Callithrix jacchus: one gene and its partners. Each later gene encodes a partner of the first gene's protein in a complex. Links are inferred from orthologs where the notes say so. Each region holds a gene or a part of one and is shown on either strand. Other genes may lie near its edges. The genes, in order: FAM8A1, UBE2J1 and HERPUD1.

Region 1 (4,375 bases):
TGAACCTGTAGTGGCCAGCTACTTGGGAGGCTCAGGCAAGAGAATTGCTTGAACCCGGGAGACAGATGTTGCAGTGAGCCAAGATCCCACCATGGCACTCCAACCTGGGCAACAGAGCGAGACTCTTGTCTCAAAAAAAAAAAAAGTTGAATAAAATCAAACCAGGTTTGGAGGCTCTTTTTACCTATTTTTGATAGGCGAGATTCCCACACATCTTACAGAATTCAGTAGAAAATTTTAGTTATTTCTTAAATCAACAAGAAAACCATAAATCTGACAAAGCCCTCATAAAGAAATCATGAGACTGACAAGCTCATTATCCATATAGTCTCGTGCAGACAAACAGAATTTAACAAAACAATAGTTTTAAACAGTAGAAATAAAAACCTTTCTGCAAATGTCCTCAACTTACTTTATCCCACTGAGGTGCATAATACTTAAGACAATGGTTGCTTTTATAAAGAAGAGAATAAAGAAATCCACCATCTCTGCCATAAATCTGTGAGCCAAGGAGGGAATAACATATTCTCTGCCTGTAAATTTAAAAAAAAAAAAAAAAGAAGTTAGGAAAATCCAATCATTTCACATAAGCCTTGGAACACAAGCCATATAATGAATTGGTAAAGTCAAGGTACAACTTAATAAGAAATATAGCCTTGCAGCAACTATTGATATTGATTCCACCAAGAATCCATGTTATTAGAGTAACAGTACCCCACTATTTACTGAACTTAAAGTTTGCTTTCCTAACTTTAACGTTTAAAATTTGATTTCACACAGCTGGATGCAGTGACTCACATCTGTAATACCAGTACTTTGGGAGGCCAAGGCAGGCAGATTGCTCGAAGCCAGGAGTTCGAGACTGGTCTGGCCCTGGCCAACATGGCGAAACCCCGTCTCAACAAAATATTAAAAAATAAGCCGGGCATGATGGCACATGCCTATATTCCCAGCTACTAGGGAAGCTGAGGTGGCAGGATGGCTTGAACCTGGTAGGCGGAGGTTGCAGCGAGCCAAGATCGCGCCACTGCACTATCCAGCCTGGGCGATAGAGCCAAACCTCGTCCTCCACACCTCCTCCCCCCGCCCCCAGAAGTGATTTAACAGACAAATCTGATTCGAGTACCCAATACATTTCACTAAGAACTCTACTGAGAATCCGAGTGATCACATCTAAGTGACTGAAAATTGATTTTAGTACAAATCAAGGTTATACATTAGCAATTAGTATAAAGTAAATCCCTGTAACCTCTCCTGTGTGTTTAGTTTGTTTTGCTTTCTCTAAAATAAACCCAATGAATATCAATCTGTCATGCTAAATTCTGCTGGGATAAGAGGCATCACGTAGTTCTTGTCCCTTCTATCTGTGGCTAAATAAAATAAACGAAAAGTGTAATAGCTTAAATAGTAAACTAATTCAAAATATTCTAGTTCACACACAGAAGCAAAAACAATTACACAATGTACAAGATCAATAAGCCAGGGCTTCTCGATCAAATGAAGTGAAGCTTTGACCCAATCAAAGCTTCGTAACTCCACTGGTATCCATGTCAATCTCCTTTTATGTCCGTTCAGTTCCACTGTCCTAAGTAGCCAATGTCTGAATAATTTCCAGCATTAACAGTTGAGCACCTCCAAAAGTGAGTTTGCCATCTGCGAGTTTAGCTTTGGACCTCACTCTGCACAGCGTGAAAACCAAAGGAAGAGCAATTTTTTTCACGTAGAAACAACTAGTCCCCATGAGTAGGGGAATCAATTCGGAGTGCCAGGTCTAAAGGAAGAAGAAACTGTTGCCTCCTTGTACATTTTGGGGATTTAGGGCCTGGACAAACGATAGCTAGTGCACGGGCAGGATCGCTAATTGGAGTAGCAGCAGCAGCAGTGACAGGTCTAAAAAGCGTGCCAGCTCTACCCACAGGCCCCTGAAGACCCTTCTACGCCCAGCCTCCTGCTCGCTGGTCTCACCTGCCTGCTGCCTGGTCTCGCTCGGGCTTCGAGAAGGGGCTGCAGATCCTACCCTCGTCACTGGAGTGGCCCGGGCCGACGACTGCACTTGAGGAGCCCGGGGTCCCAGGTTCGCGACTGGAGCAGGGGTGCTGAGGCCGGCAGCTGTCCCCGGGTCGGGCCCCGCAGGCCCGGGGCTCACGAAGTAGAAGGGGTTGTAATAGCCCAGCTGCGGGGCCGGCGGCAGCCCCGCGGCCTGGGGGATGGCAGCGCCGCCCGAGGGGAAGCTCTGCGGAGACGGCTGGGGGCTGCAGTAGGCGGGGAGGGCGGCCAGGCCGCTGTGCCAGGTGAGGTAGCCGCAGTAGGACTGCCACAGCCACTCGTGCACTTGCCGGGAGTACTCACGGGCGCTCAGCCGCGCCTGTCTCTCCCGCGGCGCCGCGGCCTCGGGCGCCTCGCAGCCCGCCTGCTCCGGCGGCCCAGCACCGGAGCCGGAGGCCGCCTCCCCACGCTTCCCAAGCTCGCGCGGGGGCTCTGATTCGTAAGCGGCGGCAGCTGCGAGGCCCGGAGCTGTGGGCCGGCCCGGGGCCTGGGGTTCGTCCTGGGGGTCGTCGCGGGGGCATGGGACGGCGGCGGTAGGAGGCCCTCTCAGGGAAGGGACGGGCTCGTGGTCCCCCCCGCCTTCGTCTTGCCCAGGAGGGCGGCCTCGGGCTTCCTCGGGCCCCTCTGCCATCGTCGTCTCAGCAGCACCCACCGCGGTACCTGTCACTGCTCGGTCTTCCTCCCCAAATTACCCCTCCCCAACAGTCCGTCGCCAACGCCGCAGCCGCAGCCGCAGGCGTAGGCGTCAACAATCCCCGGCCGGAAGCGGAAGCCCCGCCCCTCAGGAGCGACGCCCGCCGCCGGGCGGAGCTGGGAAAAGAGGGCGGGGAAGTGCGGCTGCAGTCCCCGGTTCGGTCCCTGGTAGTAGCTGGCTGGTCGGCTGGGACCAGACCGTCGTGGGCCCCCGCCCCCGTGTCGTGGCTTTAAGTCTGTGGCCTGAGGACTCTCTGTATATTCCCGTGGGGTAGGACCTAGGTTGTCCTGGGAGAAACAGCAGAGGGATAAGAAGCATTTCCGAGACGGGTCTCAGGGCCAGCGCGGCGTTTTCTGTTGCAGAACTGCGACTGTTGTTTTGGGCTCCAGGCTAGTGCTTGGTTGCTTGTGTTCATTCCAGTTAACCATTAGTACTCGAGAAGGTGGCACAGAACGCATCTATACCTTTAGAGGATAAGAAATTAAACCAGGCCGGGCGCGGTGGCTCAAGCCTGTAATCCCAGCACTTTGGGAGGCCGAGGCGGGTGGATCACGAGGTCAACAAATTGAGACCATCCTGGTCAACATGGTGAAACCCCGTCTCTACTTAAAAAAAAAAAAAAAAAAAAAAAAAATTAGCTGGTCATGGTGGGGCGTGCCTGTAATCCCAGCTACTCAGGAGGCTGAGGCAGGAGAAATGCCTGAACCCAGGAGGCGGAGGTTGCGGTGAGATCGCGCCATTGCACTCCAGCCTGGGTAACGAGCGAAACTCCGTCTCAAAAAAAAAAAAAGAAAAGAAAGAAAAAGAAATTAAACTAAACCGGTACATATATTAATATATATAATTTTTTTTATAGTTTTGTTTTTGTATCTTGAGACGGAGTCTCACTCTGTCGCCCAGGCTAGAGTGCAGTAGCACCATCTCGGCTCACTGCCAGCCTCTGCCTCCTGGGTTCAAATTGTTCTTCTGTCTCAGCCTTCCGAGTGGCTAAGATTACAGATGTGTGCCGTGACACCTGGGTAATTTTTGTATTTTTAGTAGAGACGGGGTTTCACCATGTTGGTCAGGCTGGTCTCGAACTCCTGACCTCGTGATCCAGCCACCTCGGCCTCCCAAAGTGCTGGAATTACAGGCGTGAGCCACTGTGCCCGTCCAGGAAAGTATATTGAAATGTAAGTAGTGAGGTGCTATATATATATTTCAGAGGAAGGGGAAATTATGCATGGACTAGAGTACTAACAAAAGGCTCTAAAGCCTGGGATATGCTCAGGGCCTTTCCATAACAGAAAATGAAAAGGCACCTAAATTTGAGACTGGATTTGAGGAAAGGCACAGTTCGGCTGGAGTAGAAAGCTTGTGTTTACCACAGTGGAAAGTAAATTTTCATAAATGCAGACTAGCTACAGGATGAGGACAGAATCCAGCTTTTAAATCAGTATAATCCCTCTTCTTTTACATTTGAAAATCTCTGCAGTGATATGTCCGTGTTATCCCCAGCACCATACAAAGGACATATAAGGGCCAATACAGTGGGAATGTTTATTAATGATATTAATGGTGATGCTTCCTCTTTACCCTCTGTAGGTTCACTGAAAATCACCGACAGGAGTCAGTTAATAGGAGAAAAGGCATAGA
Region 2 (4,297 bases), about 82 Mb from region 1:
GTAAAGGATTATATCCCTCACACTGTGTGGTGGCTTTTGTTTGGTTGGTTGGCTGGTGTTTTATGTGCGTGTGTGTGTGTGTGCACGCACCCTGCCATACACAGGAGATTGGAATTTTCAGTTGTTTTCCTTCATATAGGCATTACTCTAAAAAATACCACAGGACTGAGAATAAAGCAAAGGAAGGATTTTCAGGATGCCTCCCAGCATTTTCAGTAAGTCTCATATCTCACCTAATTCAACTTCTCTATGAATTCCAAATAATCAACACACTAACAAAAATAGATTTTTAAGAAGCATTGTGGCCGGGCGCGGTGGCTCACGCCTGTAATCCCAGCACTTTGGGAGGCCAAGGCAGGTGGATCACAAGGTCAAGAGATCGAGACCATCCTGGCCAACATGGTGAAACCCCGTCTCTACTAAAAATACAAAAATTAGCTGGGCATGGTGGTGCGTGCCTGTAGTCCCAGCTGCTCAGGGGGCTGAGGCAGGAGAATTGCTTGAACCCAGGAGGCGGAGGTTGCAGTGAGCTGAGGTCACGCCACTGCACTCCAGTCTGGGGCCTGGTGAGGAAGCAAGACTCTGTCTCCAGAAAAAAAAAAAAAAAGAAAAGTAGCATTGTTTTTTAAATCAGCAACACTATCTTTGAGGAAATAAAACCAAAAAAAGGAAGCAATTTATGACAAAGCTAGAAGCATGTCAGCCAAAGCTCAGCCAGTGGATGATAGTTCGCATACTTTGGAAATGTACAAAATTCTGGAGAATTTTAAAAGCTTATCATTGTAGTATTAAGTCTAACCTATTGAAATTGAGTGATGTTTTCTGACAACAATCTCTTGGGTTCCACCAGTTCTCCATTCCAAACTGCACTACTACTCACATGTGGATTATCCTCTGGACCTTTCACTAAGCACCTCTGCTGTCCTAAGGAACCCTGTGAGCAGGGAGCCACCAGATGTTTCTACCCAAATAGTACTAGTTAAATCTACCACAATGTAAATAATTCAATCATACATTAAGCTTTTCTTTCTTCCCCTCTTTCTCTTTGGTCTTTTCTTCCCCCTACCTCCACTCCAGGTTTTTGTTTTGTTTTGTTTTTTTGAGATGGAGTCTTGCTCTGTCGCCCATACTGGAGTGCAATCGCGATCTTGGCTCACTGCAACCTCCACCTCCCAGACTCAAGCCATCTGGGACTACAGGAGTGTGCCACCACCATGCCCGGCTAATTTCTGTATTTTTAGTAGAGACAGGGTTTCCCCATGTTGATCAAGCTGGTCTCGAACTCCAGACCTCAAGTAATTTGTCCCCCACCCCCACAAGCCTCCCAAATGCTGCGATTACAGGCACGTGCCACCATGCCAGGTCTTCATATTTTTTAAGGAGTCAGTGGCCCCTAAAATGTTATGACCAAATCTACACACTTGGTCACCTAAGGACATTTCTAAGCCTGGCAGCACTCAAGCTAACAAAGCTCCCTCAAATCAATATCCTCAGGCTTTTCTGGGATTTTTGCATATTCTGAAACCTTACAAAAACCCCCAGATTCACAATGTCAACTCTTTCCATAAGGATGCTAATTTTGCTAATTCCTACTGAGAAACAGCTTTTTTTGGAAGGAAATTTTAAGCAAAAGCAAGAGTCGGTGAAATCATCATTAATATCCTAGAGTTTGCAGAGTTAACTGTGGAGTTTCTTCCTCCTGGCAAAATTTACCAAGGTACAGATAGAAAAAAATACCATTTAGACGATCCAATGATTCATTTCAAGCCTGTTGTATTAAGCTGAGAACGCTAGTTACTTATCTTTATTATGCACCAGAAAGTAATTAAAGGCTAGGATTGCTGGGACTGCTTGTGTAAATGAAGCAGGATCATTAAATGCAGGAAAAGAATCTCTACGACTGAATATAGATATATTTCATATTAGCCAGTATGGCAAAAATCAAGGTTAGTTCCCATGTACAGGGTTCAACCAGGTATTTTTTGTTTGTTTTGTTTTGTTTTAGTTCTATAGTTAACTGGCTTAGTTACAGAACATTTCCTTTATGTCTGCAATTCTATTCGGCCCAGGTGCCGCAAGTAAGATATTTAAACGACCAACCCCTCAAATGTGAGTAATGCAGCCGGCTAACAGAAGTCCAGTGGCAGTGACCGGGAGGGGATAGCGACGGTGTTCCCGATGCAGGTACAGCAAGGGGTTGTTGACTGTCGCCCACCGACATCACCTTTACACCTGTTCTTAGGGATGAGTTTCTGACCCAGCTCTACGGGACGGGGCGAAGATGGGAAAAGGGAGAGGCCGGGTGCTGCGGCGCGCTAGCCTGCCCGAGGATTAGCAGCGGGCGTTCACCGGGCCACCCCGCCCTGCGGCCTGCACTTCCCGGGCAGGCGGCGGTCTCGCGTAGAGCGCGACACCGGGAGCGGAGCCATGAGTGGCGCCAAACGCTAGGGGACCGCGGCGACCGCCCCGGGGTCCAGGTCACTCTGCCCTCTTCGCCCGGGGGCCCCAGCCTCGCTCACCAGGACTCTTCAGGTTGTAGCGGGTCTCCATGGCGGGTCGCTGGCCTGGCTCCGGCCTCCCGGGCCGCTGCCCGGGTCTCAGCACGGCTCAGGCTGACGCGGTCTGGCCGAGGAGCCTCCGCAGACGCCGCCCAGTCCAGCCCGGACTGCAGGCGGGGTGACGAGGCCGAGTGCGGGCGAGGTGCTGGCTTCGCGATGGCGCCGCCTCCTCCGCTGCACCCCCCGCCTCCCTGAGAGCCGGGCCGGCGCCGGCCGGGCGTCGCTGAACCGGGCGACCGGGCCGGAGATCAGCCTCCTCGGGTAGCCGCAGGCCCAGCCCCGCCGCGGCCGCGGGGCTTGCGTCACCTGCCCTCGTCCGGGTTTTGTGAAGTTGCCTGACGTGGCAGCAGCTTCGTGGCGGTCGGTCACTCCCCAGTCGCCGCCGGCCCCGTAAAGCCGGCTTGGGATCTGCAGGAGCGAGCAGTGTCTTTGTCCCCTCGCCCCGGCCCCCGGAAGCCGAACTTCCCTCTGGCCCTCCGGGGTCCCCAGGCGCTAGGAGCGCCGGCCCTACCCGTTGCAGGAGAGGTCCGGGACCCCCGGGCCCTCGAGAGCTCGGAGGGGGCGCCGGGCTCCGGCTGCAAAGCTGTTCACGCGCGGTCCCGCGGGGTCTGGGAAGGGCTTTGTTTATAGATCCAGTTGCTGTGGCGGGGCAGGGGTGCGGTGGTGGGGGGCGCGGCGAGAAACAGGGGTTAAGTGAGGGGGAGAGGGGAAAGCCAGTGGCGAGGGAATGGAGGAGGATTTTTTTTCCCCCTGTTCAGTCGGAGTCTCGCTCTGTCGCCCAGGCTAGAGTGCAGTGGCGCGATCTTGGCTCATTGCAGCCTCTACCTCCCAGGCTCAAGCGATTCTCCCACCTCAGCCTCTAGAGCGCTGGGACCACAGGTGTGCGCCACCACGCCCGGGTAATTTTTTGTATTTTTGATAGAGACAGGTTTTCACCATGTTGGCCAGGCTAGTCTCTAACTCCTGACCTCAGATTATCTGCCCTTCTCGGCCCCCCAAAGTGCTGGGATTATAGGCGTGAGCCACTGCACTAATCAGAGTTGTATATTAATAATTTTTTTCGAGTAGTGTGTTAGGTGCAAGACACTGTTTTAGGCGTTGCAGAAGTTTGTTTGCTTTTGATTTGTTTAGATTTAAAAGCCGTCAAAAAAAAAGGAATTACATTGAATTGAGAGAAAGCATACAAATATGAAAGATTAAACTTCAAAGAACACACTTCTTGCTTCAGTGTCAAATGTGTGGGATTGAGAGAGGACTATGAGTTCAAAAGACTTGAGAAGGAGTAGGAACCTTAGGACCGGAAAGGAGGGAGGGAATGGGAAGGTGGGGAGGATAGAGAGGATTAATCAGGTTGGGCAAGTGTTATTCTGTTATTTAAAGATACAAAACTCTTAAATTTGATTTGTTTTCTGTTGTTAAATAATCTAAATCCGTGAGTTTCTTAGTGAAATTGGGAGGAAAAAAGTGAAGGATATCTAAAATTAGATGGTATCTTTTAAACCATTCCCCATGTTGTTTTTTGTATAGTAAACTGATAATCTGATTGGCTGAGATATGCGAACAAAACCAAACTTCAGTGCTGCTTCATTCATTCATTGTGTTGGATCTTCGAATTAGCTACCACTTGACATCCTCGCCTGCCACAGCTCCATAAAAGCCCTTAATTTGTGCAATAGGCCCTACCACAGTAAGGCCTGCGAAGCAGATGCTGTATATAATGAGTTCCTATTTGATAGGGG
Region 3 (3,609 bases), on another chromosome or scaffold:
CATCTTCCCAATAGCCACTTGTTCCCTAGATCTGTATCTATAGTGATGTGTGCATGTCATCACTTGTGCATGCGTACTGACCACCTGGGGTCCTTTACAGGCTTCTAGATCCACAGCAATCTCATGAAGGACATTTTTACAAGGGGAGCCCAAGTACAGCTCAGGGAAGACATGGGCTTTGCACAAGGTCACTGAGCTAATAAGCAGCAGGACTGGATTTCAGAGCTGGTCTGATGTCAAATGCACGCCTCTTTAATCACGCCACACAGCCCTCAACTTTGTCAGGCAGGTGTATGCGAGTCATCTTTGGCTTCGTGCTTCTTACACAGTGAACTTCTTTGGTAGCACATCACAAAATTGAAATCATAATAGAATTGCCGGAAGATCAGGAATTGGTTATGTGGCCATTCCTGCAGGTCAACTTGTATCCTTAAGCAAAGTTATATGTACTGGCTGTTCAATAAATATTTGTTAAATGAAATCAAGTTTAAATATGGTGAAATTCAGAGAGTCAAATATGGCCTTCAATTCTCAAGAACAGTTGAATCAGAATAAGGGATGTAGTTGTAAGTTTTTCTAATCAATAATTTTCTATCCAATAATTATCCAACTTATATGCTGACAATCTTTTAACTAAAGTCCATACAGAGTATTTCTAAAACAGTATTCCAATACAAGTCATCCTTGGTATGACACTGTTTTTGATCATTTAAGAAAACTACAATGCATAGAAATGAAATGATAAAGTGATTTTAAGGTTTCTGTTAGATTTGATAATGGCATTCTAGATACACAAGATAACGAAAAGGTTTTTACAGTTATATACTGAAGTATACAGGGATGAAATAATGTCTAGGAATTACCTTTAAATACTTAAAAAAAAAAAAGGGAAAGGGTAATAGATGAGATATGGTAAAACTCTGAACATTATTTCTTAGGCCTGGGTGGATGGTGTGGGTATTAATGATACAGTCCCCACTGTTGTGTATATTTGTATATTTGAAAGTTCCATTAAGGGGGAAAAAAAATAAATTCCTAAAACACCTGGCTTTAGAAAATATTGCATATAAAAACTACTAGGAAAAGGGGGACAGGTAATTGGAGAGTTACAGAATTTCAACATGTGGTTAACAAATTTTTTCCCCAAAAGTACTTTCATAAAACAAGGTATTCCAAGAGTTAGAAAAATCCAAATAACAGAGCATTTAGTTCTGACTTTTGCTCTAGAGAAAAAGCTTTAGTAGTTATAAAGAGATGGCCAATTTTCCTAGTGCCCCCAAGTCTTTGGAGGAACACTTCTTAAACAGTTTCTCCCTTGTGGTCACCCATTGTTAGAATAAAGCACAAAGCCACTTAGCAAAGCAGCTGCACGATGCTTACAACAGCTGTTTCTTCCTGCAGCAGCACTAATTTCCTATCATGACAGCAGCCAAGTGGTCAGCACAATGGAAGGATAAAACGCCTACATTTTCTTTTTTCAATATATGCATTGCCAACTTTTAAAATTTGTGTATACTAAAAGTCTGTGTATTAAGTTAAATATAGGAGCTCTTTAAAGTGAAGCTACTTATAAAGCAAAATTCTATACATTTAAAAGTTCTGATTATATACGTGTAAACACACCTTATTCTTAAATTGATGCAAATGAGGCACACTCATGTTGTACGGTCCAAGTTATTATAACGCTCACCTTGAGATGTTTTCCCATCCAGGGGAAGAAAGGTTCCGAAAAACTTCCCTTTGCCTTAAATCATCACTTGAGGAATCCCCAGGATACTGTCCCTGATTAAAACCAGTGGGCTGCTCTGTGGATTCAGCCACCTAAACAAGTGTAACATGAACACAGAACAAAGGAGCTGATGCAACTGTCTGAAATCAAGCGAAAAAAATTATTTTGCTGTCAATGGCTTATGTCTCCTACCCTCCACCTCTGAACATGACAATATTAAATAGAAGCATTGTTATGTAAAAAATATTCTGACATTTAGTCAACACAATTTTCAATACATAGATACTAAAATATTCCTATCTTTCCCTAGAGTAACTATGCTACACTTTCATTAAAAGCTTCCAATGAAGTTATCATTGGTGAGAAAGCTTTCTGATGATGCTGTTAAGTTTGCTCATCACAGAAATTTGACCAACAAGATTTATAAATATAACCCAGCCCACAACTTTCTAAAATAGTATTCCAATACAAGTCAGTCTTGATATGATACTGTTTTTGATCATCTTTAAAAATTTACAGTGCATGAAAATGAAACAAAGTGCCTTTAAGATTTTTGTTAGATCTGATAATGGCAAAATAGGGAATTTCCTATGCTCTGTTCAAATATTTTAGGAAATATAATACAAATTTAGAATGCATCACTCCATTAGAATACTAATACCATATATGTGAATAAACATTGTAAAATGAAAAATAAATGCTTTTGTCTGTCACATATGAGTCTTTAAAGCCAGGTCCAGTGGCACATGCCCTACTCAGGAGGCTGAGGTGGGAGGATCGCTTGCCCTCAGGAGGTTGAGAAAAGCCTGGGCAACAAAGTGAGACCAATTTAAAAGAAAAATTCTTTATGGATCACTTGATAAAGACTCTGACCTTTTCCTATCCAACTAATTACAATGAAAATTTCCAAAGAAAATATATTCACTTTTATACTCTTTATAAAATTAATGGCTCCAGCCAGATGTGGTGGCTCACACCTGTAATCCCAGCACTTCGGGAGGCCAAGGTGGGCAGATCACGAGGTCAGGAGCTTGAGACCACCCTGGCCAACATGGTGAAACCCCATCTCTACTAAAAATACAAAAAATTATCAAGGCATGATGGCATGTGCCTATAATCCCAGCTATTCTGGAGGCTGAGGCTGCAGAATTGCTTCAACCCAGGAGGCAGAAGTTGTGGTGAGCAGAGATCATGCTATTGCGCTCCAGGCTGGGTGACAGAGCAAGACTTCGTCTCAAAAAAAAAAAAAAAAAAAATTAATGGTTCTTTGAAGAAACCTCGCTATGTGCTAAATTCAATAAAAACCCAATTAGTGTTAGTTCAGTAATCTAGATACGTAATAACCATAGATCAGATGACATCCCAGAAGATAGTGCAATATGTAAGTCCACTTTTCTACCACAGTGCTAATGGAACACTTTGCTACATTAACCCATCACGTGTGTTGATAATACAGTCTCTAATTCCTAGGAAAGAATCAAAATATTACTTGGTAATAACACCATACAGTCTCTCAATAACAGTTTTATCCAACTCCTTAAGTCTGAATGATGCAAACTGTTATCATCATGAAGAAGCAGACACACCTTGGCACTGATTTCTGGCATTTTTGAAGGACTCTTCACATTGCACACCAGATGCAAAACATGACGTTTTTCCTGCTAAAAGTAAAAAGAAGTTACTTAAGGACCTGAACCTAACCTGGTGAGTGCTTAAAAACATGCAGAAATTAATGTTTAGGTGATGTACCTTTGGAAGCAAGTCCCTGAGACATTGGTGATCCAACAACAGCTTGCCAGAATAAATTAATCTCTGGTCCTCTGGATGCTGACCATGGAAAGAAAGAGTAACAAAGGTCAGCATTTCACTCCCAGAAGTTC

What was found.
Region 2: FAM8A1 (region 1) and UBE2J1 share a complex: the UniProt entries of both Homo sapiens proteins name them as parts of the HRD1 complex. The link is inferred for Callithrix jacchus from reciprocal best matches to the Homo sapiens genes FAM8A1 and UBE2J1.
Region 3: FAM8A1 (region 1) and HERPUD1 share a complex: the UniProt entries of both Homo sapiens proteins name them as parts of the HRD1 complex. The link is inferred for Callithrix jacchus from reciprocal best matches to the Homo sapiens genes FAM8A1 and HERPUD1.

Annotation. Positions count from the first base shown.
Region 1 is NC_133505.1:13,152,010-13,156,384, forward strand, and holds the start of FAM8A1 (protein FAM8A1), read right to left. Parts: upstream 2,802-4,375; 5' UTR 2,678-2,801; coding exon 1,966-2,677; intron 534-1,965; coding exon 413-533; intron 1-412. UniProt on the Homo sapiens protein: Plays a role in the assembly of the HRD1 complex, a complex involved in the ubiquitin-proteasome-dependent process of ER-associated degradation (ERAD).
Region 2 is NC_133505.1:95,402,621-95,406,917, forward strand, and holds the start of UBE2J1 (ubiquitin-conjugating enzyme E2 J1), read right to left. Parts: upstream 2,840-4,297; 5' UTR 2,551-2,839; coding exon 2,520-2,550; intron 1-2,519. UniProt on the Homo sapiens protein: Catalyzes the covalent attachment of ubiquitin to other proteins. Functions in the selective degradation of misfolded membrane proteins from the endoplasmic reticulum (ERAD) and is essential for cells to recover from ER stress.
Region 3 is NC_133521.1:14,811,152-14,814,760, reverse strand, and holds part of HERPUD1 (homocysteine-responsive endoplasmic reticulum-resident ubiquitin-like domain member 1 protein), read right to left. Parts: intron 3,557-3,609; coding exon 3,479-3,556; intron 3,391-3,478; coding exon 3,316-3,390; intron 1,822-3,315; coding exon 1,691-1,821; intron 1-1,690. UniProt on the Homo sapiens protein: Component of the endoplasmic reticulum quality control (ERQC) system also called ER-associated degradation (ERAD) involved in ubiquitin-dependent degradation of misfolded endoplasmic reticulum proteins.